Linked DNA regions of Tribolium castaneum. The protein of the gene in region 5 purifies or fractionates together with the protein of the main gene of each other region. This does not show direct contact. Links are inferred from orthologs where the notes say so. Each region holds a gene or a part of one and is shown on either strand. Other genes may lie near its edges.

Region 1 (6,319 bases), on a different chromosome or scaffold from region 5:
TAACTCCGTGTTTATCAAAGGTGACAAGCGTGTCAATGCTGTAGGTCTCCACGTGGTTTAAAATCAATTTAGCGACCAATTCAATCGGCCATTTGGCCCCCATTTGATCGGGCAAGTTCGTGTGGTTGCACACCGTGATACAGCTATCGTCAATGCCCAGCATGCGACACGATTTGTACAATTCCTGTTTGCGGGTTTTCCCCAGTCCGTAATTTTGCCCTGAAACGAGTGATTACGCCCGAAAAATGAGCGGGTCTCAAACCTGTCGAAAGACACATCAGGAACACTTTACATTGGTTCTGTTTGGTGAAGTTCAAAACAGTGGGGCCAAAAAACATGCATTCGTCGTCAGGATGTGCGATTACTAGTAAAACACGATGGGGGTTTTTTACGTCTTTTTTGAAGTGGATTATCTTCCAGCGAGAGATGGAAAGGTACAAAAACACGCATACTATGATGTACACGGACACGGCTACGATTAAATGCTCCACGGTTTCTTTCGTGTATTCCTGGACTCGAACGGTTAGATTCTTCCAAGAGGCTGAGACGAGGGACACCAACGATTCGAAACCTAGACTCATGCCAAGGCGCTGCTTGGCTCATCTCAGTCATGAAGTCACGCTCGAAATAGATTTACCGAGCATTTGCGGTATTTTTAGATTTTCTGGCGGAGAAATTGGCACAGGGCATAATTTTGAGGTTAGGTTGACGTCCCCATTTCTAGGGATTTTTATCTGTCACTAGCATTCCCAAGCGGGAATTCTGGTCACCAACAGAAAATCAACGACAGAAAAGACATTTCTAGAAACATTCACGTTTCTAGAATTTTACATTTTTAAATTAATACCACTAATAGTCTTCATAATTGTAAAACTAATGGTACTTTTCATTTTTTTATGTTCGTAAAAATAAAAAAGTTATGAGACCTCAAAGTCTCTCTAGGTGTGACGTCGGGCGGCACAATTGACTCAGCTGGTTAAAATTAACATGTTTCCAAAATTATTTCGCTGTTCCTCAATTTTTTCCATTTAGCTATTGCAGTCCTATATCTTTTATGAATGTTTAATGAACTATAACTAAATAAAATAAATAAAATTCAGAAATCTCACGTTATAAAACCGTTGGATATCAAAAAATGAGAACAAGACATCTTTAGAAAAACAAGAGAATCGTAATTTCATATCTTTGAAAACACTAGGTTTATAATTATAAACCACATCTACTTATTCATCGAACGTATCTTCAAAAGCATTAACAAATAAAGAAATTGTATTTCTGTAAATAACAAGTCGTTTGTAGAACACTTATTTTTTTACATATTTTTTTTTGTACAAAACATTCTGCAAGCATCGCTTGTTCTATAAATCATAAAAATTTCCATTAGTTAATGTTTTTAGTTTTTTTTAAATAAAATAATATTTTATTAATATAAATATTTCTCATTAATTAATATTTATTATTTATAAGAAATTGTAGAAAAAATCTGATAAAATTCGAAGGCTTACAGAAAGAAATAAAGCAAAAAAAATCACAAACGCTGATTTTTGTGTGATTATTTAAATGGATTATTATTGGTTATTAGTGATTCATTACAGTATCTCCTTAAACAAATTACTTCAATTATCACAAATAACACTTTCTTTCAATATTTATATCTTTTAAGTCAATAAAATTATCCGGAGATCTCAATACAATGCCGAAAGGAACAGTAGTGTGTAAATCGCCGTAAATGACCCAATACTTAACAGTTTTTGATTACGCAATAGATTAAATAACTCTTTGTAATCAAAAATCTTTTTCACTTTTTTATCAAAGTCCAACATAAAACACTTTATAATCACGAAAAAACGCAAAACCAAAGGCAACACTAGTATTTACCGGCATATAATTTTAAATTGACTCTCTCTAATGTAAAAAATTAACAGTACACACGCAGAATTGCTAAATAATCCATTAAATGAGCAATTACCAAAACTTGTTACTGTTTTCGGCAAGTACGACATGTCGTCACCAGAGGACGCCTAGTTAATGCATTTCTGGTGATTTCAGTTTTGTCAATTAGACTAGCCACCAAAAGTGTTTTTTTACGAATTGTTTGAATTAATTAACCCCAAGTACCATCTCGTGCAAAACCAAACGAAATAATGTGAATCGTGTCCTTGCTTTGTGTAATTTATGCCCGTATTTTCCATTTGAGTGCCCTGTTGACATTTGTTGGTGTCACCTAACCTCACAGTGTTAAAGGACGCGGCAAAATGGCCCTCCGAACATTCGGTGAAAAACCGATAACTTTCCAATTGGAGGAAAATGGGGAGTATTACTGTGTGGGCTCCGAGGTGGGGAACTACCTGCGCCTGTTCCGGGGTTCCCTCTACAAGAAATACCCCGGAATGTACCGCAGGTCAATCACAAACGAGGAACGCAAACGCCTCATCGAGCTGGGCTTGAGCCAGCACGTTCTGGCCAGCAGTGTCTCACTGCTTCGGGCCTCGGAAGTCGAGGATATCATTGAGGGAAATGACGAAAAGTTGGTTTGTTTTTTGGGGGTTTTGTTGTTATTTGTTGATTATTTAGGTATAAGGCTGTTTCGGTGCACACTTCGGACCCGCCGATGCCGAGGGAGAGTAAATCGAAGAAGTCGATGCAATGGGTGCCCTCACTCCCAAACTCCAGTCATTTGGACGCTGTGCCCCAAGCCACCCCGATTAATCGGAACAGAGTGGCGGCGAAGAAAGTTCGGACGTTTCCGTTATGTTTTGATGATACTGATCCAGAGCTGAATATGCAAAATGCGGCACAAGGGGAGTTGTTGGTCCCGATAAGGCTGGATATGGAAATTGAGGGGCAGAAGCTGAGAGACACTTTCACGTGGAATAAAAACGGTAATTTTTTGGGTTTTTCTAATCACAGTACGCTCTGCATTTGAAATAAAGTTGTAACTTTTACATTATTTATTCTTATCAACTTATTTTCGAATACTTATTAGCGCATTTTGATCTGAAATTTAATTCTTGAATAATTTTTAAACCTGCCACCAGTCATTTAAACTAATCAAGATTGCGTGATACGAGAAAAATATGTTGGCAATGACTGTAGTCTAGTAACTAAGGTTACATCTGTTATCTAAATTGACACCATATTGTTGATACTGGGTCCTGATTATTAACTACAAACTTGTAGTAAATGATAAATTTTTTGATAAAACGCATTTTTAAACACTTTTAATATGATTTATAACTTTTTTTGAGTTTAATTTAATTAAAACACGTCAAAAGATCATCTAAATATGTCGAAAATGACCTGAATTTGACACTCTTTAAAAACAGTTCCAATTAGATTAAAGTGTATGTTTTCTTTAAAGTGACTTTGCTTTTTTGTTGAAGCAAAACTTCATAAAAACGCTAAAAAATCATCTAAATATGTTGAGTAATAGCGTTATTTCCAGATTATTTTGCCTTTTTTTTATTAAACTTATCTTGTTTTTGAGTATGAGACTTACTTGTTCTTGAAAGTTTTGTCAAAAAATGACTAAATTAGGTCGAAATTGACGTTTTCTTCAGTAGTGATTTGGACACATTTCGTGAAAATGCACCGAAAAATCATCTAAATATGTCAAAACTTATGTCATTTTGACAATGTTTTCTCTTTTTTGAAAACTTTTTTTTTATTAAATACCCCGAAAAATATCTAAATATATCGAAAGTTACGGTTGGTTCGACATTATTTTAGTTTTTGTCGTTAGATTTATTTTTTTTAGCGAGAAACTGACTTTTTTGTAAAATTTTGTCAAAAATAAGCAAATTGAGATAAAATTGACGTCCTAGTTTTAAGAATTTCTGGTAGGTTTATTTGTTTTGGAGCCAGGAACTGCAAAGTTTCGTGACAGAATTAATCAAATGTAATGTTTTTTTTAACAGCTTAATTTCTTAAAATAATCTAGCTTTGTTTTTATACGAAATTGCATTAAAATGCGCCGAAAAATTTACTTTCATATTTTTCTTGCCTTTTTCATTAAGTAAGTAAGTAAGTTTTTGAGCGAAAATCTCCATTGTTTTGAAGAATTTTGTCAAAAAGCCAATTTAAATAAAAATTGAGGTGCTTTTTCAGTCTATTTAATATATTATTATTTATTAATTATTCTAACCAACTGTATTTCTGTTGAAAAATGTACTAAACACGCTCAAAAATGTAAAATAATTGAGTTTTAAGTTTAAAATGGTGATAAAACTCCCAAAAAATGCAAAATTATCACCATTTTTGACGCAGGTTAGTGACTTTTCGGCTTATTTTTGAGAAATTTAATAATAATAAAAGTGTTTTATTCTCCCATTTTTGTTATTTGATAATTGTAGAGTGGGCCCAAGTCCCAAACCTTTGTTTTTATCTATAGCCGACCTAATTTAAAGTTTAGACCAAGTAAATACCAACTCAAGAAAAAAAAAACTTTTTTTTTTTTTCAGAAGTTTCGTTTTTTCTTCTGTCTTTTTGTTTTTTAGTTCGAACATGTATTTGACTGTCATCCTTCATCATCAACAGAGTATTTTTTTTAATTACACAATATTTTGTGCATTGTTGTTAGTTTCGTAGTTTTTTTATTTTTATTATTTTTATATTTGTTGAAATCGGGATATTAGAAATTATATTTAGGGTTTCAATTACCAACTGTTAAACTTTTATAAAAAAAATTTAACAAGACGAAAATACAAAACAACCGTTGGGTATTTTTGAGAGACGATTTTTTAAAATAAAAAAAATAAAAAAAAATTGTATAAAAAATAATGTTTGGTGCTTTTGAGCGACTAGTTTTTGGTTTTTTTTTCAATATCAAAAAAATCAGCAAACGTAACTTTAGTCACTTATATAGTTATTGACAACGTATATCTCGCAACTCGATTCAGTTTATGCAAATTATTAGCATTAACAAAAATCATATCACAATTTAGAGAGTCTCATCACCCCCGAACAATTCGCCGAAGTCCTCTGCGACGACCTAGACCTCAACCCCCTGACCTTCGTCCCCGCCATAGCGCAAGCAATCCGCCAACAATTAGACGCATTCCCGGCCGAACCTTCAGGAATAATCGAGGAAGGTTCGGACCAACGTGTCATCATCAAACTGAACATACACGTGGGTAACACCTCGTTAGTCGACCAAGTCGAATGGGACATGTCCGAGAAACAAAACAATCCGGAAGAATTCGCATTGACTCTTTGCTCGGAATTGGGTCTGGGTGGGGAATTTGTCACAGCGATTGCGTATTCGATCAGAGGACAACTGTCCTGGCACCAGAGGACCTACGCCTACAGCGAGGCCCCCTTGCCCACGGTGGAGGTGCCCTTCAGGACGCCCAGCGAGAGCGACCAGTGGGCCCCCTTTCTGGAAACGCTCACCGACGCCGAAATGGAGAAGAAGATCAGGGATCAGGACAGGAATACGAGGAGGATTCGGCGGCTGGCGAATACGACTCCAGGGTGGTGAACAAGGTTGGTTTTAAGTATTTACCAAAAAAAATATATGAATTTTATCTTGAGTGATTAATAAATGGATGGAAATGGAGACGGTTTCAATGTGTATTTTGTGTAAAAATATCGCTAAATAATCCTTTATTCCGGATCCTTTGTATCACGTTTTTTCCTCCATTTCCCTCCGGAAATACGTCCACTGCTACATCACCAATTTATTTTTTCCGGTGCAGTGTAAGAACGTTTCAAATAATTTTTTTATTTTTGAAAATAATTATTTTATGCATCTGGGGAATTTGAATTTGTCACTTAAATTTGGTTTGCGGCGTTCACTAAATTACGAAATGCGGTGAAATTTTGAAATAACCTAAGGCTTAATCTAATTGATTAAGAAATTTTTATTTTATCTGTTGGAAATTGGTCTCAAAGTTTGTAAATAATTTTTTCTATTCTTAAACATTGTAACTTGATTATGTGCTTTGATCTGGAGAATCTGAATCTGTCATGTAAAATTAGCTCGGCCCACTAGATTCAGAGATATGGTGAAATAATTAAATCGTCTAAAGCAAACTTCCGCTAAGTTGGAAAATGGCTTCTAAATTCTTATATACATTTCTGTATTATAATTATTAGAAGCTATCCTATGCAAATTGATCTGGGGAATGCGAATTTGTCACTAAAATTCAACTCCGCTCACTAGATTCGGAGATATGGTCAAATAATTAAATAGTCTAAAACAATCTTCAAAAATCCTGGAAAATGATCTCAGAATTTGTACTTAAATTTTTCTGTTGGTAAAAATTACAGCGTTTTTATGTAATTTGATCTGGGGAATCAAAATCTCTAAATTAAATTT
Region 2 (6,346 bases), on a different chromosome or scaffold from region 5:
AACAGCGCTCTTTGACCTCTTCCAAGGGTACGGCAATGTGTGTGTCCGACTTGAAAACCTCCTTTTCGAGGAATTTTCTCGTCGTTACGTGAAACGTTTCCGCAGGTCTCAAGTAATAGTTCCCGTAGAGCATTTGCTGGCCGTTGTTTGTCCACAAACGCTCGATTAGTAAAATATGGGGGTCGCAACCCTTCTCCTTCGAGTCCAAATAGACGAATTCCCCGACTTTGAAAGTCTGTTGATTGCAAGTCAACGATTCCCCAACATTCATGTTAGTTTCTTTGATAATGGAATCATCGGAACTACGAGTCTCTGTCTCCTCCTCTAGTGACTCTTCTAACAACTTGCTCTGTCTCAAAGACTCAACAGCTGAGCTTAGGTCCATGAGAGTGTAGTTCAAAGCCGGCGATTGCAACAACTCCCCATTTTTGCACAACTCGTCTCTTTGCTTAATAAAATAGGACTGCAGTTCGATCGAGTCTTCAAAAACTTGTGAATCGGAACGCGACAAACGCCTCGCTCGGTCCAAGCACGCGAAAACATCGTCTTGGAACGTGTCTAGCCTTTTGTACAAACCGCGATCAAGCCGTCTTTTGATCAAGTCCAAAGACACCGCTCGCACCCTAAAGCCGAAATAATTACTCAAAGTTTACAAGTCGCAAAAGTTTACTTTTTGCCGTCGATTTCATCGTGTTCGGGCAAGTCAGCCAACGAATCTGAATAGCACCGTTCCTCCGCGTCCTGGTGGTTGTAAACGTTGGTGAAGAGGTTCAAAAGTATGTCCTGGACAGCCGCCGAGACGTCGGGAACCGTATCGTCGTCCTCTTTCAGTTGAAGCTTGGTTTGGAGACATACAGTTTGAAGGACCAAGGCGTCTTTGTAAATCTGGGAATCGGGCTCGTTGTATTTGCACGCGTTGTCGAACATTAGGATGAAATCGGAGACCAAGTCGTCGAGGGTCTCGTACGAGTTGCTTTTCAGCTTTTGTGAAATTTTTTCCATGTCTATCGGGTTCTTGATCACCTCGTAATAGTCGGGATAGTCCTAAAAACGGGGCTTAAAGCGAGCCAAACAAGTCCAGTCGTAACCAATGTCTGTGATTTGTTCCCAATCACCGACACTTTACGACTGAACTAAAAAATGCAAATTACTATTTTCGACGGCAACTTCATGAAAATCAGCGATAACTGTCGGTTGGCTTTAGCTTCCCGATAATCCCTGATCGCGTCGTACAAAGTTCTTAGGTTTTTTTCAACCGGCGAGAGAATTTTGCGCGGTTTAACACTGCAACTAAACTGTTATTTTTTTATTTTTCAGCCGGAAACGTACACTCTGACTACGGTTTTTTCCTTCTTTTCCGGAGTGACACTATGCCCAACTTTATCCAACAGATGTTTTTCCAAAACGAGGGAATCCTCGTAAATTGGCGAATTTTCCTCGTTAAACTGTCGGCAGTTCGAAAACATGAGCTTAAAATCTTTGACTAAGTCACTCTCGGAGCTGTACTGATCGGCGCGAATTTTTTGCTCAATTTCGAGGAAATCGATCGGTTCCGAAATGACTTCGTAATATTCCGAATACAATTTTTTCGAGGGTTTTTCCATAAAGCCGAGCATGGGCTTTCGGCCATCCTCACACTGAAAAATGGCTAATAGAAAAAAAATTGCAAAACGTGTAACTGACAGTATAGTCGAGCATATATTTCGCTAAAGCGTGCAAACGTTTTTTTAGCGGGATTGGGTCTCGCGGTGGACGCCCTCTTTGTGGCGTGCTGCCACTCGATTGCGTATTTTTTGGCTTAGGTCCTGGCTTTTTGCGCACAACGACTTCGGAATCTGCCTCACTGTCTGTATCCTGAAGATTGAAAAAGACAAAAATTTAAACAATTACCATCAACTCAAACGCCTGATTAGGAAAATAGTGAAACAAGCCGACTGATGTTAGCAACGTAAGCGCCCACAAAATGAATAACTCCCGACAGTTAATAAATGCAATGAAGACATAAGCAGTGCAGTAGCATACCTTCCGGTTTTTGTTAGTGACTCTGTATGTTACCTGATCAATGTCAAGTAGTTCTTGCACTTTCATTTGCATGACCTTTTGCAACTTGACAGCGTCCTGGAACAAACTCGCTCAAATTTCACGTTGAAAACGTTACCAAACTCACTTTATACAACCTTGACGACGGCAGGTTATACTTTTTCGCATTCTCAAACATTATGGTCATGTCACCGGCCACTTCGCTTATGGTGCCATAAGCGTGCTTGGTCAGTTTTCGTTTGATTTGAGTCAAAGAGACTGGGTTTTTGATCTCGCGGTAATAGTCTGGATAGAAACGTTTCGAGGGCAATTTCCAGAAGGGTTCGCTCAAGGAAACTCCGCTATTACTCGTCACTGAACGCACAGCCTCGAACAATTGCCACTGGGGATCTTCGACATCAAGAGGATCAGCAATTGACTGAAACAATTCATTGAAAAAACGACTTTGCACTTTGATTTGCTACTTCATCGTCCATCTGTTCCTCTGGTTCCACCTCAGCGTCCGACTCGTCGTCCCTTAGGGCTGCAGTGACCGCAGATAGCGATGTACTGCCCCTTAACCGTTTATTCCTAATGCGTTCGCTGCTTTTACCCAAACTTAATTTAATGTGATCCAGCTCGGCTTTTTTACTTTGAATTATCTACAAAATACTGAAGGGTCAATGGTACAAACAACCCGGCTCTCACCTTTTTCAGCGCTTTCGCGTTTTTGTAAATCTGCGAACCGGGTTCGTTAAACAAACAGGCGTTTTTGCACATTAACATCAAGTCTTTCTCGAGCTCGGCCAAGCTGCAATAGTCGTTAGTTTGGATTTTGGTGGCAATCATTTTTAGATCGATGGGTTGTTCGATCACTTCGTAATACTCGGGATATTTTTTCTTCGAGGGAATTAGCTGGAAAGAAGTGTGAAGTGGCCGATTTTCATTATCGGTCGCTGTCATGACTGAAGTGAACAGCTCCTCGTATAAATTGACATCGTCGTCGAAATTCGAACTCTCTGAAGTGTCCTCAGAGTGCTCAGGTTCTTTGGTTTCGACCGGAGTGCCGGCTTTTTTGCTCGGTCTTCCGACTTTTAACACGATTTTTCCCTTAGGTTCGGGTTCATCGTCTTTGGTATTAAGTAGTCTGAATTGAGACATGGCTAAGTGTTAATTAATTTAAAAACGGGACTCACTTGTGTTTGTTAGAGAGAAACAAGGCCCACAAATCTATGGCGTCGCGATACTCCTGCGAATTCTTTTTATAGAAAGCTTTCGTGTTATTGACAATTAACTCGATATCGTTCTGCAAATCCTCGATATCCTCATATTCCTCAGTTTTCAGTTTTTGTTGCACTTTCAACAAATCGATCGGGTTTGAAACAACCTCATAATAGCCGGGCTCTTGTCTACGTTTCGGTACTCGAATAAACGAATCGCAGAGAAGAGTCCCGTCGTCTTTTTTGTGATTGCGGATTGAATCGTACAATTGTTGACAAAGTTCCATCTAAAAACAAGGCGTCACAATGTGGAACAAACTCGCAATTTCCTGTTACAGGATCTAGTTTTTTGCTGCGCTTTCGCATCGTAGGTCCTGTACTAGTCGAAGCCTCCAGACTATCCAAAGAATCGTCTTCTTGCCCCCTACTGGCTATAGAACTCGTTCGACGCCTTTTACTCATTATGCTGAAAAGGTTTTCAACCAAGGCTACATTTAACTAAAGTAGTGAATCGTACAGAAATCAAATTACAGAAGTCTTAATTCAAATGAGCGCCAATTGTTGTGTCAAATGACGTCGTAAACAAACGCTAAACGGAATACCACGGACGTCGGTAACCATAAACACGCGCCAGAAATAGCTTATTGACAATGTACGATTGTCAAATCTCGTTAATTGATTTTTTATTATTGAAAAACACAATCAATGGCCGTAAAAATTAATACAGTCATGGCCTTACACTAATTGGGCAAATATCATGAAACAACTGCTAATTATGGTTGCAATTGGACAAACCTGGATTCAGTTGATCATCACACAAGGAAAAGTCCACAAAAACACACCGTTTTTGCAAATAAACCCTTGCACTTCACATTTGTGCACAAATCATAAATCGATAATAAAAACCGGCATCACTCGTCAACAAAATGGCTGATGGTTGACAATTCTGGGGGATTTTCGTGTTGTTGAATGTTTTGGGTTATGTGAGGTTATTGAGCTAAAATGAGTAGGTTTTTGTATATTTTGTCGTGTCTGTCCGTTATTTTCAATAGTTTTTGTAACTGTGGTGCAATAAAATCAATCCAGGATGATGATCTCATGAACTTAATCAGAAGTGAGACTTATGTGGTTGCGCTGTTTTGTAAGTCCCCACTTTGCGTTCCTATCAAGATTGAACGAAAATTCCAGCTGCGAAAAATTGCGAACTTTGTGATAACTTCGAAAACATTTTAACAAATTTGGAGGAAGAGTTCTCTAAATCATTTGAAGGAGAGACTGTTAAAGTCGTTAACAGCCAGTTAACAAGACTGTATAGCCCCACGAAGGAGCCGGTTTTGGTGTTTTTCAGACATGGAATTCCTCTACTTTATAATGGTATTGCTACATTTAACCGTAATCAATTTTATTCGCATTTATTTTGCTTTAGATATTCCTTCAGAAGAGCTAATTCTTCACACATTTGTTAACAATAAAGAACCGGTGGTGAAGGAATTAAACGATGAGACTTTTGAACACTTAACCCAGGCCGCCAGTGGGGCTACCACAGGCGACTGGTTTGTGATGTTGTAAGTCTTTTTAAATGGTTGTAGATTTTTGTTTAATTTTTTCAAAGTTATACCCCAGACTGTGTCGATTGCCACCGCCTTCAAGCCCGGTGGGAGACAGTCGGGGCACAATTAAAAACACGAATGAACGTCGCACGAGTCAATAAGGCGACAGATGGGGCCGCTACCGCCACACGATTTGGAGTCTCCCAAGCCCCAACTTTTATTCTGTAAATTGACTTCTCAATTTTGTTTCAATTCTCACACATTTTTTTAGCTTCAGACAAGGCAAAATGTATAAATATCAAATCCAAAAGTACGACGTTGCGTCTTTCACTTCTTTTGCCCAAGAATGGTACAAAAACGTGACTCCCATTAAAGTACCATCGCCTAAAACGCCATTGTAAGCAATTGCAATTTATCTTCTTGTGTTATAATGGAATTTTTCAGTGATAATATTGTCGAAAATATCGTACTTAATTTGAAGGAAAGCGCAATGGCGTGGAAAATTGGTTTAGCGGCGACTGTTGTTGGTTTCTTGTTGATAATTTTAATGAAATGTCGTAAGACTGAAAAGCCGCAAAAACCGACAAGCAAGAAAGACAAATAAATTTTTAACACTTTTTTATTAAAATAAATTGGTGGCTGACTTCATAACTCGTTATTTACACAATAGAAGGTTAATGAGGCGCTGGTGTGTGGCCATCAACGTAAAAGTTCCTCGTTGCTTGTGGCAATTCTAACTCAAGCCCTTCTAATTCTTTGGTTAAAATAATCTGACAACCTAACCTAGAGTTTTCTTTAAGAAACGGCGCCATGTCTAACAAATCCTCTTCTTTTTCCTCAGCTGGCGTAAGTTCGTGATCACTTTTCACATAAACGTGACAAGTGGTACATGCTAGGGAGGCCTCACAGGCCCCTTCCATGGGAATTTTGTATCTGTGAGCCAAGTATAGGACATTATCACCTACTTTGCCCTTTACAGGGACCTTTTCACCGTCTTTTGTAACAAAAGTTATGTTAACACTGAAAAAAATGTGTATTTTACGTAATATAACCGCGCGAACTGTTACACTTCATCGGGGGATTTGGGATCCTGCCATTCGTATTCACCGTGATTTAACTCTAATTAAAGACAATTGGTTACTTATTAATTGTAATTTCTGATGGTACTCACTCGCTGTCGTATAAATCTTACGAAATAAAGTTTTTATTGAAAAACTGGGCTTTGTATAACCTAAAATTCGCACAAAAGCTGTCATTTTGACAGTAACTTTCAAAAGTTACTACGAGGACGAAGTCGTCTCGTGATTGGTCGATAATTCGCCTTCGGCCAATCACAGGACTTGATTGGTTAATAGGGATTTTATTGCCTGTCATTCCTTCCGCAGTGTTGCAAATAGTTCCGAATGCCAGAATTTTCATTTTCACGATTCCATTTCCAATTATCGCTGAATTCCTGATTCGTCCAAAAGTATCAAATGTGTGTTTCCATCTGAGTGTGAGAAAAACCGTCGGACATTACGGAAGGTAATTTAGCAAATTTCCTGGTTTACCTGTCAA
Region 3 (6,423 bases), on a different chromosome or scaffold from region 5:
TTTTGCCCTTTTTCTTCTTTTTCAGGCCTTTTGTTATCTTGTGCATTATCTACTCTAAGTCTCATCGAGGCTTCTGAAAATTACCTCAAATAAATCAGTCAGGAAAATTATCAAAAGAATTTTTTTTCTATATTTATCTCTTACAGTTCTTGTAATAATTGCAAAAAACGGAATTTTGGCTCATTATTTTCATTTTTAATCCAGTAAACTTTCAAAAAAATGCTATTAAGTAAAAGAAATGTCCGATTTGTCCACCATTTTCATTCAAGAAGTTGAAAACAAGATGGCAGACTGACTGAGTTACTTTACATAATTCACTAAGTTATTATTAAATCTTATTGTTTTACTGTTTAATCGATAATAAATCAGCTAAAAATTACATATAATGTTGAAGTTTGACAATTGTTGACCATTTTGCATGGCCTACTTAACTCACGACGAAAATTACAAAAAAAATTGTTTTTTGTGATTTTTTTCAAAAACTGTAAGAAACAGGTATAGGACTTGTTAATAAAAGTCGATGATCTTTTGATTTCCGTTAAGAAAATCGGGTCGTTCTATTTGAAAAATTGAGTTTTAGCCGTTTTTTGATAACCATTTTGAAAAAATCATACTAGCTTTGAATTTTGACAGTTGACAATTTTGAAAATTCTAGAAAGGTTTTCGAACCTTTGGTTATCGAATGCAAAAAAATTATTCACTTAATATAAAGAGTTTAAGAACTGTGATATTTTAAATAAACTCCTGTAAATGAAAATTTTAACAAGAAAATTGACATATGTCTAAAACTATGACAGATAGGTGCCAACAACTTAAATAAATTTTACTCAGTTTAAAAAGGTGAATTCAAAAATGCAGTAAAAATGTATGGTTATTATTTAAAATTTCAAAGTTGTCGTAAATTTTTTGTAGTTTCGGAAGCTTAACCATTTTGAAGAAATGGTCAATTTAGATCGTATACAAAGTTTTAAAGCTCTGGCTATTAACGACGTTTATTTGACAATTGTCACTCGGCTGTTACTTGACATCATACAACTAGATTTGATTAACTATTATTTTTTTTAATTTTGTGAATTTTTTAAATAGTATTTTTTAGTATAAAAAATAATATCTACCAAATTATAAAAAGAAAAATATAGATTACAATTTAAAAGAAACTAGTGGAATACAGCCCAAAATATACTATGATATTTAGAAAATTTTTAAAAGCACCAGCTTATACTACATTAAAAGCGGTTTAAATACCTTTTTTAATTTTTAAAATCGGGCCGTAACTAAAAATTCTATAGAGCCTGACGATTTTAAAACATCACCTTTTACATTAGATTAAAAACGCACTGAAATTGATTTAAAATAATTTTACCACTGTTATTAAAATTTTTCCCGAATTGTAGGAGTTCCTTGTTTTTATTTTTTTAATAATTAATTCGGACTTTATTTATTTATGATTGATTCTTTCTTGAAGAGCTATCAAGTGATCCTAAAATTTCTGCATTAACTTGTCTTTTGATTTTTTATTACAAATTACAAAGGAACATAATTTTGGAAAATTGTAGTATTTCGCGAGAAAAATATGTGATTGAGTGTTTTTTTACCTAAATTACATTAGGAAAAGTCCGTCCGTTCGCACCCAAATGAACCGGATCACAATTCAGTCGAAACTGAGTCACACAGTGAGCGTCGCGACGCTATTGATTTGGAACTAGAATACGTCATCCACCTACGATAATGTACCCGATTTATGTTCGAAAAATGTACCACGCGGTACAACAATGAATGAAAAATACTTTTAAAAAATCGCCCGATTATGTTTCTAAAAATATCTCAATTGTCGCGTTGCTTTATTGAAAAATTGCAGTCGTTGTTTAAGTTTCTTGGGGATTTGAAAAGGGTAGTATTACTCACTTTTTAGGCCTCATATCACATCAAGCATTCAGACTGAAATCGCACCGAAAAATAAAACAGTTACATTGTCTATTAAAACACGAATTGATTTATTTGAGAAATTTTTTACTTGAAGACGGCTTTCCAAAGGGCTATGGCGTTCACTGGATGGATCCAGGCAACCGGTATTGATTATGCGCAGAAATGATGGCAGTGTATCACAAAATTCGAAAATTTGATTAGAGTGGCAAAAAAATGACAAACTCAATTGTGGCATTACATTTACAAAATTGTACATTTGTGTGACATGTAATTTCTTTCAGCAAATAACATTAATGGAATTGGAATTTTCGAATTTTTTAGGGAGTTGCGTAGCGTCACGTTGGCGTCAACAAAATCAAATAAAATATTGTATGTCTCACGGGTGGTGATGAAATTATGAATTAAAGAAAAAATAGTTCTAACATTATTTTGAATTTTTTTTTTTTTGAAATATGGCGCCAATTATATTATCAAAAACAAAAAAATTGCACTAAAACGTGTGATTTTGATCGCAATAAAAAAATAGGAAATAATTTTTGAACTTTGGCCCAGCTTAGTAAATCGCTTGATTTTGAGCTGGCAAATCTTTGGTGTGTTTTTTGTACTCTTGTAAATGCTTTTTGATGGGTTTTTTGTAATGGAAACAAAATATTGTTTGAATTTTCCGCTTTTTGTATCGTAGGTGGCGCTTTGCTGGAAAATAGAGAGAGAACGACTTGCATCTTTCTCCAATTCGTTGTCAGTTGTCAACATGGCGTCATTTGTGTAAAAAGTGTTGTGTATTTTAAAAGAATCTCAATTTTAGATCTAATTTAATTAGTGTGTGTGTGAAAAAATGGCTCTTCCAGCCAATTACAAGCAAGTAGCGATGCAAATGCCTAGCCCTCAAACAAACCGTAAGACAAAGTTGCAAGAAAATGCATTTTTCCAAATAATATCTATTATTCTGACGTTATTACTATAATTTGACGCGAATTGCTGTAGATTTTCCAGTTAGTTTTTGAAAATGTTCGAGTAAAATCCAGTAAAGGAGCTTGCCGTTCGCATGAGTATTTTTGTAAGACGCTATTTATTATTTTTGAATTATTGATGACAAGTCATAATAGCATGAACTAGGTTATTCTAAGCTAAATGCTATGGTTTATAAATTATTTTTTCCACTAACACCCGCATTTATAAACCATAGTAGACTCTTTTTTTGTAGAATAGTGCTGATGATTGCTTTGTTTGTGTTTGTTGTTCAGATTTGCTGTCGGCAGGCGTGCCCATGACTTTCAACATATTGAAAGGTAACTGCAATCTTCGTTTTATTAACATTTTACAGAAGTTTCAAACATTCTTCTAAAATAATTAAGCTTTGCTTCTTTCCATCATCATCAATCAATTCAATGGAAAAGAAGAAAACTGTAATTACAGTTTTCTACTTTTTTTTTGACCAATTGGTGGCAACAAAAAATGTTGCCAACTCGATTTCGTAGTCAGGGCGGAGAATGTCAGTAGAATTTAAATTAGCTAAATTTTGCTCTAGGCTTATTACTTATAGTAGTTGCACTTTAACAAGGTTTTTCATTCATTTGCTCTCATTTTTAATAGTTAAGGTAAGTAGTGGTGTTTTGAGTCATTGTTGCACGTTTCGTTTGAGGTAAAATCGAAATGAAAAATAATTTTTATTCTAGAGCGTTTGAGAGCGTCTGGAGGGTCCGGATCTGGATCAAATGTAAGTTTTAATTTTTTTTGGGTTGTTTCTTATCTGTAGAGAAGGATTCTTGGGAAGATAAAGAAATTATTTTGTACATTTTTTATTAATTCCTACTGCAGGAAAATTAAAAGCAATAATTCTGAGATCTCAGTGACTTAGTGAAACACATAAAAACATTAAAAAAAATTATGTAAATATTGTCTTAATGTAGTAATTTTTCAAACTGTTTTTTGATTTTGAGCACATTTTTTACAAAAATTTGAGAAAAAATTGTATATGATTAAAAAAAAGACAAAATCGTAATGTTATTCTGATCCGATTTCGTGATTTTTTCGATCATTTTTAATAAAATCTGAAACAGATAATCGAGAATTTATATAAAACTACTGTGTTCAATCAATTTATATTTTTTTGCTTTATTTTTGACAGAAAAACCTGTAAAATTGAGTGAAATAAATAAAATATCAATTTCGATCTGATTTCCTGACTGTAAAAGTCTTGCTTAAATAATAAATATTTACTTTTTTAACAAAAGAAATTTCTTTCGAGTTTTCCTGGTTAGTAAAGTTTCCCAAAATCGGGTTTCTATGGCTATTTGTTCTTCAAGTTAGAGTTCCTATATTGGGAGAGTTGGGACACTGAACGTCAAACCGAGCCAATTTTGTATTATGTGGATAAGGTATATATTTCTATCCTTTTTTATTAAAATTTTTGTTAGTAACTTATGTCAGAGGTTTATGTTGAAAATAATTTCAAGGTTATAATTTTTGTCAAATGCATAAAATGACATAATTTTACGTCAAATTAAATCAGGGACGTAGAAAACGTAGAAATTTTGGGATTACTATTTAAAAAAAGAAAATAATTGAATACCTATCAATATTAATGTTCACATTTCTGAAATTTTTCAATATTTATTTTAATATTAAATACATAACTTAAAACATACTTCAATGCTAAAAATGCTTTTCTTTCAATCACAATTTTTAGTTAAACATCTCGTCCCAAAAATTGGTCATCAAGAACCCTTCATATTTCCTGACGTCTTTTTAAATTTTCTAAAAAATGATATTGAAGATGTTCTCGTATGAAAAACGTAACAACATCGTGAATTCCCAATAACTTTATAATTTGAAACAGTAGCTAAAGTTCACGTAGATGGCGGCCAAGCAGTAACAGGTTCAACTTTCCTAAAAATTAGAACCAATTTTGGGTTCAAGTACCTACGTCTTTTGTAAATGCATAGACAAATTCCCAAAATCTCATAAATTTTGTACATAACATTATTTCGACAATCCACTTTTCCAAATGCTTGTTAATAATAAACGTAAAACTTGGCAGGAAAGGTTCAGTTTCTCTCTCTTTCATCGATGATTACCATTTCTTAAAATTAAGGAAAAAATGTTTATGATGAAGAATTTAGACGTAAAATTCTTGTACTTACAAAGAAATCTCTTTTAAAATTTGGAGTTTATATAAAAAAAACAGTGAATTGACGACGACTGCCAGTCTAAACCATTTCTAAACGCAGTTAGTCGACGAAAAATGGAGACATTTTTTGACAAATTTATTTGACTTTTCGCCAAATTTCAAGTGTAACACCACTGATTTCTATCCCAATTTGTTTTTTTATACATTCCAACCGACGTATATGAAACAAAATTTCGAAAATCGACATTCAGTGTCCCAACTCTCCCAATATAGGAACTCTACTTCAAGTTACGTAAAATACAGGTCAATAAATCCTGCAGTTATTTTTACAGAAAGAAACAAGTCCGTTTGTAACAACGCCGAATGGCCATCCTGGGTTTTTACCACAAAAAGTGGGAAAGAGTTCGTCGGTAAGTATTTCTATCTTTCTCACAAACCCAACTTATCTACTGATAATTCTCACTTTATCTAGAACAAATAATATTTACGTATCTAAAAATTGTTCTTTTCCCTACAATTTAAGCGTGATGCAGCACTACGCTAACAATTTCTATTACGATTACAATCCTTTTTATTATTATTACAATAATAGCAATTACAATCAGTACAAAAGTAGTTATAATTACTACTACGTCCAGGTAAGTTTTAGCTTTTTAACCTCGAAACAAATCAGTTAGAGGCTTCCATTTTGAGAACTACAAGATTAATACAAAAATATTTAATTATTTCTTTTGGCATTTCTTATGAATAAAAGTGAATAAAAGTTTCATGGAGAAAACAACATTATTTTTTCTTTGTAGAATGATTCGCGTACTCCTAAGCCCCCCAAAGCGCCCGAAAAGCCTCTCATGCCCTACATGAGATACAGTCGAAAGGTTTGGGATACGGTTAAAGCACAAAATCCCGATTTGAAATTATGGGAAATTGGACGAATTATCGGGCAAATGTGGAGGGATCTCCCCGAGGAAGAAAAAAACGAATTTGTTGAGGAATACGAAGCTGAAAAGGTTGGTTTCTAACTACTGAAATAGTTATAACAACTTTTTCTGCTTCTAGTTGGAATATGAAAAAACGCTGAAAACTTATCACAATTCACCGGCTTATCAGGCATTTATCGCTGCTAAAAATCGAGGTAAAAGTGGTAAGTTAAGTTTGAAAGGAATGAAAATTTTCTTGTAATGATAATTTCAGGCAATGATAGTGATTCGCATGATCGCAGCAGTTCGTCATCGAAACAACAAGCCGTCGATCGAAGGATTGAAATTCAAGCAGCGGAGGACGAAGATGGTAATTTATTTTTTGTCAATTTTTTTTATTAAAGCTCTCAGCTTCATTTCGAGCTGTAAATTTTTTTTTGTTTGTGTTAT
Region 4 (6,124 bases), on a different chromosome or scaffold from region 5:
ACTTGTGAGAGATAATGCCGATTTGAGGTGCGAGTTGCCCAAGCTGGAGAAGAGGCTAAGGGCGACCATGGAGAGGGTGAAGGCGCTGGAGACGGCGCTCAAGGAGGCCAAGGAGGGCGCCATGAGGGATCGCAAAAGGTTGGCGCTCACATTTTTCTCAATTACGGCAAAATCGCCAATAAATGTTTTGTTTTTTTTTTCAGATATCAATACGAGGTGGACCGGATCAAGGAAGCCGTCCGCCAAAAGAACCTCGCTCGTCGCGGCCCTGCTGCAACAATTGCCAAGCCTATCAGGTCTGGCCAACATCATGTTGTTGTTGGTGGCGGCGCTGCGATCCGTACTGGGTCTAACATGGGCCAGAAAAACATGGAAATTGCGCGAAAACGCGAATCACTTATCATAAACGAGAAAGACGCATGTGAGTCTTGATTTAATTTTTTTCTCTAATTTCCTGAATTTTTCCTTCCAGAAACGGTGCTCTGATCACTGGGATACCAAAAATATTGCTGACTACTCGTACTACGTAAGCCGTGGAACAACACACGACTTACATTTTTGTGCTTACTTGCTTAGTTATCCTAGAATTAAGGTGCACTTATTGAGACGACAAATTGTTTCTTAGGTCGGTTTTTAGTGCAATTGCTAAGAAATAATTTGTGGGTTTTCCTGTCGCATGTCGCGCGCTATTATAATCATGGTGGTGTAATAACGATTCAAATTTTCCAGGCTTAAATCGTGTTTTGTAATATAAAAGTGGCATTATTTTAGGATTTTAGTTGTCTCTCCTCTTGATCAAATGGTCTAACTAGCACGTTTAGGTAATTAAGTAGCACATTTTACACAACTGGATTATTTGTATAGCCTGATTGATGTATTTTGTATAAATTTGTTTACGATTGATTGATTGCTTGTAGTGGTCTAAGTATATATTTTTTTAAAACGATTTTATTTTGTTGTTTTTCTCAATGGTGCAGGTCGGACGGTTGGCTTGACGGGCGCAAGTGCTAATCGCTCCGATGCAATCTAATTTCATTGTGATAAGTAGCAAAGTTTTGTTCTTCCGTCAAAGACCCGATTGGTGCACAATTGCATTTCTAATTTATTTGTTTTTGTTGACTGTAGATAATTGTTTAGTAACAGTCTTTGGTACAGCTGTCGTAGTTGTGTAACGAAACTGATAGTGGATGCTTGAGTCAATAATGCAATTTATTTATTTAAATGATGGAAATTATATTCTAATAAACTAATACAAATTTCCTGTTTGTTTCCCTCATTGTTGCCGAAAATTTTTCACCCTTATAGGAAAAAAATCACTGAATTTTTGAGGAAAAATTCTCCAGCCTTAGTGAGTTTGTTTTTGGTTATTTGGAGACATTTTAAGGAAAGTGACTTGAGTTAAAAATGCAGTTTATTTATTAAATGCTGGAAATTATATTCAAATAAACTAATACATATCTCGTGCTGGTTTCGCTCAATTGTTGCGAATGCCGAGTGCTTGCTCCAGTTCGGCCCTTTTTTGCTGCACCTTGGTGTAGAAATAGCGACACACGGCTTCTTGCGCCCACGGTTGGTAGAAAAAGTCGGACCTCCGCTCCTCTTCAGGATTGCCCACCACATCGGTCATACACTAGAACAAACGTGCGGAAAATGCCACTTTTCCACCCTAATACACTCACTTTCCATACCTTCAAATCCCTGGTTTGTGACACGATCCACTTGTAAATAAACTGTTGCGGATCTTTGGCAAAACTCAAGAAAAACTCACGATTTGTTTTCAATTGATTAATCGTATCGACAGTTTCGTGAATTTTCGCATCCAAACCTTGGATCTCCTGCTGACTAGCTGTGCTCAACAGGAAATTATTCATCTGAGTTTTGAGCGTATCGTCCACCTCCACGTCAATATCGTAGCAGGCGGTTTGCTTGCTTTCGGCCCCGCCCTCCACCGAGATCACGTGATTGATGACGATAGGGTCCGGTGGGTGGAGCAACGGGTTTAAACGTTGGGGGATTTCCGCAAATTTCATCCGAGGACACCCGAAGATCTGCTCGAGATATTTATCACACACGATGTATTCGCGTTCGTGGGCGTCTTGCAATCGGTGCGTTTTTATATACTGCCATAGGGCGGAGATGATAACGGGGCGTGTCTGCGTGTGCACGCCCAATAAACGGGCCAATCGCGGGTCGAGTTTGAATTGTAGCGGTTGGTAGTCGAGTAACAAAAGAATAGTGCACCGCACATTCTTATCCCCAGGTCTCTTGACCTGGAAACCGTCTGTTTCTTGAGTTGTTAAGGTACGGTGCCATTCCACCAAGTGGTTATCAGGACCGTACAACTCCTTATCGAGCTCAATCACCAACGATTTGAAAAATGACGAAAATTTGCGTTTGACTTTATTGGGGTCACTTTTCGAGTCGTCTAAAAGGCGGCCCTCGACTCGCAACTCCCAAGAGGCCACGGAGCCCTCTTGTCCAGGGCCGTCTGGGCCCTCGGCGCACGCCTCTTTGGCTGGATAAAACGTGTTAGAGATGAAAATCCTCAATTTGCGTTTTTGTTTCATTGGACGTTTTAACGCCTCTTGAATATCCAACCGTTTTCTCATTATGGTCGAGTCTAATTTACGCTCAAACGCGAGTAAATCCATGTAGGCCTGGCTTTCGGGCACCAAATCTCTGACTTTTTGGGGCAAAATCTTGTCGGAAAGCTTCTTCTTTTTCTTGGTTCCATGTGGGTAATCACTGCCAACAGCGTAAACGATTTTTTCGAACAAATACAAATATTTGAAATAAATAAAAATAACAATTCTGTATACTCCCAATTGCTTACCTCTTTTGCTGCATGACGGCCCTGTTGTCCGGGGGCCGTTTAACGCCCGGCTGGGGCGGCATGGGCCCCCCTCGCATGGGCGAATAGGGGGCTTGAGGGGGCCGCGGCATCATAGCGCCCGGCTGGGCCCCCATGTTCGGGGGCGGGGTGTTGTACCCTGTCCGTTGCTATAGTGCGAATTAGAAATAATTGGGTGGAAAATGGGGAAACTCACCGGAAAATTCTGGGCTGGGTACTGGCGCATTCCCGGATTTTGGGGCGGGTAACGCTGGGGTGGGGGCCCCCCGGGACCTTGGGGCGGCACGGGGCCCGCGAAACGCTGGGCCATGGCCTTTTATCACTTCTTAAGCACAAAAAACACACAGATGCGTCCCCAGTTGCCCAGTTTCGGTCTTGTGTGTTTGGTGGGTTTGGTGACGAAGGTGTGCGTGGACGAAATTGTTAATTTGATAAGGAATTATCAATAGTAAATGTGTGATTAAGAACGGTTTTGCGACCTTTGGGTTTATTGAATCAAAGTTTGGGAAAAAAATACGAAAAAGGTGTGAATTCACTATTAGGTTTTGTGAACATTGTGAGATTGTGACCAGTTGAGCTACTAGTAGGGGTACCAACACCGTTGTTTTTCCGTATTTTGTTTAAAAATTTTCAGAAAGGTTGTTGGGTTGTTTACGCGTGTTGTTGTGGGTGTTTTGGGGCCCGTGGGGTTGTTGCCGGTGGTCAAATGAATTTATTTTCGCATTTTTTGTGTTTGGTTGCCGGCCTGGTGACAGAAGAACCATGATGGCGTCGCTGTTTATTATGTGAGAACTTCACATAAAAATTGGTTAAAAAACCCCGAAAAACTCACAACAAAATGTAAAAACAGTAATTTTTGGTCAGAATGCCTGAAAAGCCACGTGTCCATGCAATCAAGCTTTGAGCCAAACCTAGTAAGTGCCCCCAACCAAATAACCTTGATGTTTATTTACCCCTTACTCCTAGGTAGAAAATGGGTTGTGTTAGCAGCAAGCCCGACATAAACGATCAACACCCGAACATTTTCGACGTATCCAACGTCAACGACCAAGGCGACTTGGTGAGCCCCGGCAAGCTCGAAGTCCGGGAAACTGAACTAGTCCTACACCAAAGAGGCAAAAACCCCACAGTGTGGCCCCTCAGGTCGCTGCGCAAGTACGGCTTCGACTCGGAAATTTTCAGTTTCGAGTGCGGTCGCAGGTGCCCCACTGGCCAAGGCATTTATGCGTTTAGGTGCCGCAAGGCTGAGCAACTTTTCAATATCGTCCAACATCACATTGTACGTAATTCCGACGAGAACCCCCTTATTAACGCCATTTCGGACTTTCCGGCCGTTTCCACGGGGCCCCCTGTGCAGCGACGCGCCCCGTCCCAGCCCGAGGGCTATCTCAATCCGGTGGGGGCCCCCAGGCCGAGTCTGAGCCGCCCTGGGTCCATCACCAGCAACGGCCCGGTGAGCCCCACGACGGCCGAGTCGACGCACGAACACAATAATAATAAGAGGGGCAGTTTGGGGGACCACCAGTACACCAATTCCAGTGTTATTACTGAGTTGGAGGCTCCCAATTATGCCAACTTAGGCGCCGCAGCCCCCGAGGGGTAAGTTGCTAAAGTCCCAGATTTATTTCATTTAGGGCGCTTTTACCGATTTTTTTTACACATTTTTGTCAGTTAGATTGAAATTTTGCTAAATAAACAGCTTTGCCAACTGTGCCACTTTTATATTTTTTTTCTTCGGTGAATAATTTATAATTTTCTGCCTTTAAATAATAATAAGTTGGTGATAAATTAAAAATTTTAATTTGGCAGTTTTGATTTAAATAAAAATAAAGTCACTGGGTATTTAGATGTGGGGAGGAGCTGCGCCCCCTTGTGGAGAGTCCGTGCCACCTGTACATGAATGTGGACACCGTTGGAACCAAAGACTCGGATCCTTCCGAGGACAACGCAAGACATTGCTACGCCAATATAGACACCAAAGATTTAGAACATTTAAGGCCGCTTTTGTCGGGGGCGGAGGCGCCAAGTGTGCCCCAAACGCCCACCGCGCTCTATTTGACTGTCCACGAAGTGAATTACGCTGAGCTGGACTTGGATCCGGTGAAAAGCGACGTTTCTACCTCTCAAGTGACGCCAGAAAGCCCCCACAAAGCGAAAAGTTACGCTACGATTGATTTTCAAAAAACTAACGCTCTCTCGCAATCGATAAATCCGCCAATGGAGGTCGAAGAAGGCAGCAGAAAGACTAGGCATAATTCTACAATTAGTGATGTTACGACTAGACATAGCAACTCGCTAAGTGACTAACACATCGAATTGTAAAATTTTGTGATTCTCATTGAGTTTTTTTTTGTTTGATGAGGTGACCAGTACGAAAATTTTGTTTTTTTAGTAGAGTAGTTGGAAAACATCGATTTTTTGGAATGGGTCATCTCGTTAAGTACTTGTGATTATCTACCAAAATGTTAAACTTGCCACCTTTTTTTTGTAAGGATACAAATTTACAAATGCCAAAGATATTTGATAGTTGTTAATGGTTTTAAGTAATGGAAATGAAAAATGACGTATTATTTTACTATATTATACATTGCGCAAAAAGTAATTAATTATAGAACAGTTGAATATATTATATTTAATTTTTAATAAACGATATTTTACAAATTACGAGTTTTATTCACCGCATTACTCATCTCGTTTAAGCCAATTGACCTTTGCTCTCACTTGGATTAATCTAATTTGGTCCAACTGACTGTCATAGAAATTTAGCGCCAAAAATATTACAGATTCCTGTAGTTTAGCAAAATTTTGGGATTAAAATCAACAAACTCAAGGTAAGTGAGTGTGTAATTGCGATTTCGCTTTAAAAACCTTCTTACCCGAATATCTGTAGCCCCAATTTCCGATAATTATTGGTAGAAAACTGGGGATTCCTAAATTCTAAAGTATGGGGTTGGCACTATTGTCAAATTTTACGTATTGGACGCTTCGTGTTCAATGACCGTGTAATCTTTATTTTTTTGCCGTTTTCTTTACAAAAATGAGTGTTTTCGTTGTTAATTTTCCAAAAACATTAACAATAATTGTGATTGAAAGTGACTGTAAGAACATTTCTCCTGGAACTACCCTGATCCCTGGAACTACCTTTTGGACGCTAAGGACTTCAGGTAGGACAAAAAATGGCATGGATTTGGTTTAAACGCCTTATTTTGCAAAAACATTGGTTGTTTTACCATTTGTGATAGTTGAGATCTCTTTAAAAAAATTAAATTTTTT
Region 5 (6,450 bases):
AACAACAGTCGGGGGTATCTTTCGGCGAGAAGACTGTCTATTTTTATTGTAGCATTACCATGCTGTGACACATTCATTTTGGCAAACTTTGAAGAACCATAACATAATTTTTTCAAATAGCACCCTCTGTATTTTATTACTTAGTATTATTTAGCATCTCATTTTACATCTTTTTGACCTCTTTAATTTTTTCCCAAAAATTGATAATTTCGGAGATAACTCTGTTTTTCTGAAAAACGCAAATAAAATCCCTCGGATACCAACGTGTTGTGCCATGTAAAACAATACATTCTGACATAACAACATAAGACATGTGAAAATGAATTTTTCATGTAAATTGCATACACATCTCATCGAGATATAAACTTTAATTTTGATAAGAAATCATTAAATAAAAATAAAAAAACACTACTAGAGAAAATATGCAAGAAAGAATTAAAAAAGCTTTTTATAGAATAGATCATGTCACATTAGAAGCGGTGAATGTAAAAAAAAGACCAATGTATTATTTTATTGCTTAAGAATGCCCTCCTTTTAAATCGTTTTGTAACTGCAAGTAATATGTTATCGCTGTTGATTTGTTATACCTCAGTTTTTTATTTCCTTATTTCTCCATTGTAAATTTCTGTCATTTTTATTTAATAATTTCTGGTCAAAATTTTATAAAAATTTATATCTAGATGACATTTCTAGGTATGCATTTTACGCGAAAAATTCATTTTCACAATAAAATCAAAACGTGAAGTACTATAAATGCCATTTTGACATTAGTATATCAAAATGTATTGTTTTTCATAGCACGCTACATTAGTATCCAGGAGATTTGTGTGCATTTTTCATAAAAACCGAATTATCTTCTTAACTATCAACTTTTGAAAAAAACTAAAAAGGCAAAAAAGATGTAAAATGAGACGCTGAATAATAATTAGTAATAAAATACAGGAGATGTTATTTAAAAAAATAAAGTTATGGTCCTTCAAAATTTACCTCAGACATTTGTTTACCTACGGACGAAGTCCCAACTTAGTATCCCAAAAACCAAAGGCACTACGATTTTTTAATAATGTGCCTGCATACGCACAAAATTGTAAAAAAAATGAAAAAATGAATGGTCAAAGCAAATTGCAAAAACTAAACTAATTTATAATGCCTAAAAAGTGCACATTTAAATATGTATAAATATACAGGGTGTGCCATTTAAGAAAATTATGTTAAATCCTGTATGTTTGGTAGGTGTAATTTGACATTGTAAAGTTTTAATATTGAAGCTCGAAGCGAAGCTGAGAGTTCTAATAAAACTTGTTACATCAGTTGATACATTCTGCCAAAGTTCAATTTTGCTTCAGATATCCAAAAATCGGTCCTCAACTACGAGCTATCCTTGGCCCGGTCCGAAAAACACCGCGAGTTATACATGTACAGACTGACCCACTTGATTGCGGTGATCCAGGGGTACCAACCCTCCCAATAAATTACTTTTATTAATTAACTTATTGGTAGAATACGTTCGATGGGTTCGGCCGCTTTGGGGCTGTGTTACGTGGCGCGGGGCTCAATGGACGCCTACCAGTGCGATGGGTTGTACCCATGGGACGCCGCTGCCGGGGTTTTGATAGTAACGGAGGCCGGTGGGGCTGTCGGCGACTCCACTTGTAATAAATTTTTTTGTTGTGTTTTTTCCCTAATTTCTGTTTCAGGGGGTAAAGAGTTCGATCTCATGAAACCGAATTTCATAGCAGCGGCCTCAAAGCCCCTTTTGGATCAGTTCCTTCAAGTCGAAAAACGTGCCGATGACGAAAGATTGGCTGCACTGCTGGTTAAGAAGGCCAATGTTGGATGCAAATAGTTTTTTTTATTAGTTGTAATTATAATTATGCAATAAACTTAAGGAAATTGGTTCGGCATCAATTGTTTTATTGTAAATAGATAAATAAAGGTGGCCTTGGATTACACTGTCAAGGAAATCGCTGTGAAATTTTTTTGAAGTATTCATGCAATCTGAAAAGCAAATTGTTGGTAATTTATGACAATTTGACGATAATTTATTAATTAGAAAAACGGTCAAAATAAAAACAAATATACCAGTAGTTAACGTGTCACTATTATAATTAGATAACTATCATTAAAATAGCCATTTGCTTGACTTGTTGGCCATGAGAAATAATAAAAGGTGCACATTTTGATTGATTTATATTGTTATTATTTTCTAAGAAACATTTCTCGAAAATATCAAATGCAATTATTAATAATCCATTCAAGATATTGTAGCTTGTTTTTTTAATTCGCCCCATTGTTGTCTATCTTATAACTTTAAACATAATTTTTTATTACATTAGAAACGAAACCTCTCTCTGAGTTAACTAGAATTCTAAAAAAATCCTAGGTGATTTGATTCATGTAAAAAAGGAAAAAATAGCGCATAAAATTCATATCTTTGTTACTGACCAACATAACGGTTTAATTTTTATAAATTCTACATTTTGATACCATAACAACATTAATAACGCCAGTGTTTTTTAGAAAATGTAGCCATTTTAAATATTTTTAATGACAATCCACACTTTTGAATAGTACATTACTTTATTATCTTTCTGATAATAATAATAATAATAAAAGAGTTAAAACAAATCGAATAAAGTACAGTCAAACAAAATGAAAATGACGCCTCACTAAACCAGCCCCTGTTATCAATGCAATTTTAGTTTATTTCAAAAATAGAATTTTCAAAGTTTACTCTGACAGCACTAAAATTTGATTAGTGATTGTTCATATCAGCGACCAATTTTGCTATTTTATTTTACTAGTACATAATGAGGCTCATTATGGCCGCTACAAGGTGACATAAAGCTTCTAATTATGAACAGTCGAAGATAAAACATTTTTATAATTATTAATTACGCATAAAAGACTTTACCTTTTATTATAACCTACATTAAAAAGAGCGATATTTTCTTATACTGGTGCTTTTTTGTTAAAATGTAGTATTAAAAAATCATAAATATGGCATAATAAGAATATGTACTTTTTACAGATTGTTAGTACTTGCAAATAAAGCTATTATTACTTACTATCACGGCTATATTTAAAGATAAAAAGCGACTTTTTGGCTCAAGACCAAATATTTTTGATATATAGAATCCTAACGTTGAAAAAAATGGAATATTCAAATTAAAATAAAGAAGGCCTCCCGCATTTTAACTGTCATTTCATCTCATTACCTGTCCTTGCTGCGGATGCCCCCCCATGGGCATGGAATGTCCCGGATAGGGCTGCCCTTGCTGCATATTATGCGCGGGGCCCATATGCGGCGGTGCCCCCGGCTGCATGGGATGCCCTTGCGGGGGCGGCGGCCCGCCATGCGGATGCCCCTGCGGGGGCGGCCCCCCTGGCTGCATCTGCATGGGAGGCCCTTGGGGATGTCCCTGCTGGGGCGGCGGCCCGCCCATATGGTGTCCTTGCGGGGGCGGATGTCCCTGGTGATTCGGGGGCCCTTGCGGCGGCATGCCCGGATGCGGGGGCATATTCGGGTGCGGCTGCGGGGGCATGTGATGCCCCGGGTTCGGCTGCATCTGCACCATGTTGGGGGCATTCGGGGGCATGGAATGTGGGGGCGGCCCGTTCACGTGGCCCATCGGAGGCGGCCCTTGGTACGGGCTGTGGGGCGACGGGGGCGGCGCAGGGCTCTGAATCGGCGGGCCCATGGGGCTGGGCGCCTGCGGCGGCGGCATGGGGCTGCTCTGGGGCGAAGGACTCGCCATTTTTCTAAAAAAACAAAAAAAAATAATAAAAACGTGTTTTCTTCATTTGTTTCGAATTGGCCAATCAGGTGGCGTGATTTGTTGTTATTGTCCTTTTTTGTGCTACCATTATTATTTAACTCAAAATGTCAAAAAGTACGCCTACTTGATTTTTTAACTTTTTGTCAGTTTTTTCGAAAATCAAAAAACAAAAAACCGTCCCAAATTCAAAGTTATGGAATAGCAGACGTTGATTGGCCCACTTCACGTCATTTAAACCGCCTTTTACCCGCACTTGAAGGTTACGCGTGAGCATCGAACCGGTAGTGTTTCCCTTAATTAACATCAGAAAACCCAGGTAAGTGAAAAATACGCTAAAAAACTACGTAAAATTTGGAAAAAACGCTAATTCATACAGTTAGTAACAGATCGGAGAAATTACAATGCAATGACCTAAGACTATCCCTCTTATCCGGTCGGTTTTCCCACATAAATGACCTACCTACGTTGCACAAACACTAGTCAGAGTTTTTCCAAACAGAGCACTACGTTTTCCTCATTTTCCCTACTTTGGAAAAGCACTGAAAAGCTAACAATTTTGAGTTAAAAGGCTGAAATCACAGACGCCATTTTACCATCGACTCAACGCTCTAGATCTAGAAGCTTTCTTTCTTTTCGTTTATTTCTATCGCACTTTTCCCATTGGCTAAAAAGAGATGGCGTTGTTGTTACAGGTGGCGCTTTGCACAACCGGCGCGGGGAATTTGAATTGTGGAGATGGAGGAAAATTTATCATTCATAATTGAGTGCTTGAAAGAGCGCAATTATCCCCAAATACACGAAATGGAGGAGTGCAAAATTTGTGACATTTTCTCCACCCCCAACAGATCGTTTCTCGTGTCGTGGATTCTGCAACAAATCAATGTTCGTTTTGCTGAGATTTGTGCGAACGCAGATAAAGAAAAATTAGCAGAAATAATCTACTGTCACGGATTTTGTGATGATGCTAAGGAAAGCCTTCAATTCATGAACGGCGAGTGTGACCTCAGCAAACAAGTATTGATTTAAAGTACACCCTTATCAATCCAATATACTCGATTTTCAGTTTTTCATCATGAGCAAAATGTTTAAAGCTTTAGAAACTGTTCCCGAAACCATAACTTCCGATGTCAACAACTACGATGATTTGATGAACTTTGATTCGAATTTGTTCCCAACTTACGGATCAAAACAAACCCTAACTCTCAGTCAACGTGCCGCCAAAATTCAAGAATATCGCAAGGAAATCGCTGATCTAAAGGCAATTCTCAACTCACGAAACCAAAATCAAAGCCTTTCAATTGATTCGAATTTGAAGCAGCAACTGGAAGATTCGACTCAACAACTCGAAGACAATTTTCTCGAATTTAAGAGCAATGTTCAACGTTTGTTGGTAAACCACAAGGAACCGAATGAAATTAATTTTCCAGAAGATGCCTCGGAAGTAATTGAATCGTGCTGTAAAAATTCCGAGCGGCTCCTTAAGGTAATTTATTGTGGGTTTTAGGATAATGTTTTATTGGTTGTTTCAGTTTATGAAGAGTTTGAACACTATTGTCAGTTTTAAGAGAGAAAATTTGGAAAATGTTGAAAAAAAGAGAAATGGAAATTATGAAATGTTAAAAGAGCTCGCAGAATTGTGTAGGGAAATCAAAAGCTTGAAATAAAATATTTTGTACTTTGTATTTTTCTAATAAGTTTTGTGATTATTACGAAACTGTCTTGTCCTTAAAAAATAATAACATTTACAAGTATTTATTAGTTTAGATAAGTTGCGGTTATGCAACCAACTATGACTGTTTTTTTATGAATGGAAATAAAAATCATAAACTATTTTGAAACAAATTGTGTTTTTTTTTATCGAGCGAAAAATTGAAACAATTTTAATACAGCGTGTTAGGGAATGGTTTAGCAAAAATTTAAAGGCAGATAGAAAATGGCAAAACAAATCGATTTAGCAAAATTTATGTCAATCAAAAATGTATAGTTTTTCCAAAAAATCGTTCTGAAATTAAAGTCACAAATTTTGAGAACCGCTAAGCTAGAATTATAAAAATTAGCGTCAATTTTAATATTATTGACTAAACAGCCTAAGTAAATTAACTTATTGGTCGACTACGTTATTTGTTTATTTCAATTTGTGTTGTGTTACTAAATTTTACAAAAAAAATACAAATTTTTTTGCCAGGACCGGGATTCGAACCTTCCACACATGTGGGAACTGAACATGGTAGCCACAATTTTGAAAAATTATATAAGGGTGATATAAGGGTTTCTAACTCGTCTAATCATGGCAAATTCACATACGAAATATTGCTAAGCCATTTCCTAACAGCCTGTATAATAAATTTAAAAAAATGGTTATGCAACCCAATATACGTTTTTACGCCTATTCATCGGGATTGTGTATTTGCACCAAAATCAACTTGGTGACCTCAAAATTCTCATCCACCAGCCTTTCAACCACATCAAAATGGTCCACATCTTCGACATTCGTCCATTTTGTGACCACGCCGCCATTTCGCAGTTTCTCATCAAACATTTTGGCCTGTTTTTGAAACTCAGGACTATCATTTCTGGCCGAAATCACATGAAACTTAGTTGTTACTCCTTTCACTACATTTTGCAACAAGGGGCTCAACTTCTCAGCTTCACTTTGGCTCAGTTTCAAGGG

The links.
Region 1: the proteins of brm (region 5) and Snr1 purify together in Drosophila melanogaster (affinity purification with western blotting; 7 studies listed by BioGRID, with this or other methods). This does not show direct contact. The link is inferred for Tribolium castaneum from reciprocal best matches to the Drosophila melanogaster genes brm and Snr1.
Region 2: the proteins of brm (region 5) and polybromo purify together in Drosophila melanogaster (affinity purification with western blotting; 3 studies listed by BioGRID, with this or other methods). This does not show direct contact. The link is inferred for Tribolium castaneum from reciprocal best matches to the Drosophila melanogaster genes brm and polybromo.
Region 3: the proteins of brm (region 5) and Bap111 purify together in Drosophila melanogaster (affinity purification with western blotting; 6 studies listed by BioGRID, with this or other methods). This does not show direct contact. The link is inferred for Tribolium castaneum from reciprocal best matches to the Drosophila melanogaster genes brm and Bap111.
Region 4: the proteins of brm (region 5) and Bap60 purify together in Drosophila melanogaster (affinity purification with western blotting; 8 studies listed by BioGRID, with this or other methods). This does not show direct contact. The link is inferred for Tribolium castaneum from reciprocal best matches to the Drosophila melanogaster genes brm and Bap60.

Annotation. Positions count from the first base shown.
Region 1 is NC_087401.1:13,704,051-13,710,369, reverse strand, and holds Snr1 (SWI/SNF-related matrix-associated actin-dependent regulator of chromatin subfamily B member 1), read left to right. Parts: upstream 1-2,029; 5' UTR 2,030-2,255; coding exon 2,256-2,527; intron 2,528-2,574; coding exon 2,575-2,882; intron 2,883-4,943; coding exon 4,944-5,479; 3' UTR 5,480-5,557; downstream 5,558-6,319. Other genes in the region: PIG-L (N-acetylglucosaminyl-phosphatidylinositol de-N-acetylase), read right to left, coding at 1-219, 263-581.
Region 2 is NC_087397.1:6,257,453-6,263,798, reverse strand, and holds the start of polybromo (protein polybromo-1), read right to left. Parts: upstream 4,177-6,346; 5' UTR 4,035-4,176; intron 3,728-4,034; exon of another isoform or gene 3,706-3,727; 5' UTR 3,702-3,705; coding exon 3,576-3,701; intron 3,527-3,575; coding exon 3,216-3,526; intron 3,167-3,215; coding exon 2,728-3,166; intron 2,682-2,727; coding exon 2,505-2,681; intron 2,459-2,504; coding exon 2,168-2,458; intron 2,119-2,167; coding exon 2,023-2,118; intron 1,855-2,022; coding exon 1,684-1,854; intron 1,638-1,683; coding exon 1,330-1,637; intron 1,291-1,329; coding exon 1,152-1,290; intron 1,045-1,151; coding exon 671-1,044; intron 624-670; coding exon 1-623. Other genes in the region: thioredoxin domain-containing protein, read left to right, coding at 4,242-4,380, 4,428-4,613, 4,666-4,804, 4,852-5,013, 5,061-5,186, 5,234-5,393; Fdx1 (adrenodoxin-like protein 1, mitochondrial), read right to left, coding at 5,464-5,809, 5,857-5,908, 5,961-6,045.
Region 3 is NC_087402.1:570,711-577,133, forward strand, and holds the start of Bap111 (SWI/SNF-related matrix-associated actin-dependent regulator of chromatin subfamily E member 1), read left to right. Parts: upstream 1-2,647; 5' UTR 2,648-2,761; coding exon 2,762-2,822; intron 2,823-3,170; coding exon 3,171-3,215; intron 3,216-3,263; exon of another isoform or gene 3,264-3,524; intron 3,525-3,602; coding exon 3,603-3,643; intron 3,644-4,902; exon of another isoform or gene 4,903-5,008; intron 5,009-5,069; exon of another isoform or gene 5,070-5,348; intron 5,349-5,376; coding exon 5,377-5,466; intron 5,467-5,529; exon of another isoform or gene 5,530-5,583; coding exon of another isoform or gene 5,584-5,694; intron 5,695-5,856; coding exon 5,857-6,063; intron 6,064-6,112; coding exon 6,113-6,197; intron 6,198-6,247; coding exon 6,248-6,343; intron 6,344-6,423.
Region 4 is NC_087395.1:25,851,163-25,857,286, forward strand, and holds Bap60 (brahma-associated protein of 60 kDa), read right to left. Parts: upstream 3,379-6,124; 5' UTR 3,162-3,378; coding exon 3,048-3,161; intron 3,001-3,047; coding exon 2,834-3,000; intron 2,746-2,833; coding exon 1,680-2,745; intron 1,631-1,679; coding exon 1,475-1,630; 3' UTR 1,394-1,474; downstream 1-1,393. Other genes in the region: Khc (kinesin heavy chain), read left to right, coding at 1-138, 204-421, 473-474; fibroblast growth factor receptor substrate 3, read left to right, coding at 3,825-4,450, 4,699-5,158. UniProt on the Drosophila melanogaster protein: Involved in the recruitment and site-specific anchoring of the Brahma complex at specific promoter sites.
Region 5 is NC_087400.1:7,721,064-7,727,513, forward strand, and holds the start of brm (ATP-dependent helicase brm), read right to left. Parts: upstream 4,483-6,450; 5' UTR 4,373-4,482; exon of another isoform or gene 4,327-4,372; 5' UTR 4,240-4,326; intron 3,763-4,239; 5' UTR 3,759-3,762; coding exon 3,219-3,758; intron 1,905-3,218; exon of another isoform or gene 1,847-1,904; coding exon of another isoform or gene 1,698-1,846; intron 1,653-1,697; coding exon of another isoform or gene 1,501-1,652; intron 1,453-1,500; coding exon of another isoform or gene 1,347-1,452; intron 1-1,346. Other genes in the region: uncharacterized protein LOC100141828, read left to right, coding at 1,347-1,452, 1,501-1,652, 1,698-1,846; uncharacterized protein LOC103314458, read left to right, coding at 4,515-4,793, 4,843-5,262, 5,309-5,443; kynurenine formamidase, read right to left, coding at 6,166-6,450. UniProt on the Drosophila melanogaster protein: Transcriptional regulator. Acts as a coactivator, assisting one or more dedicated transcriptional activators of ANTC and BXC homeotic gene clusters. Can counteract the repressive effect of Polycomb protein.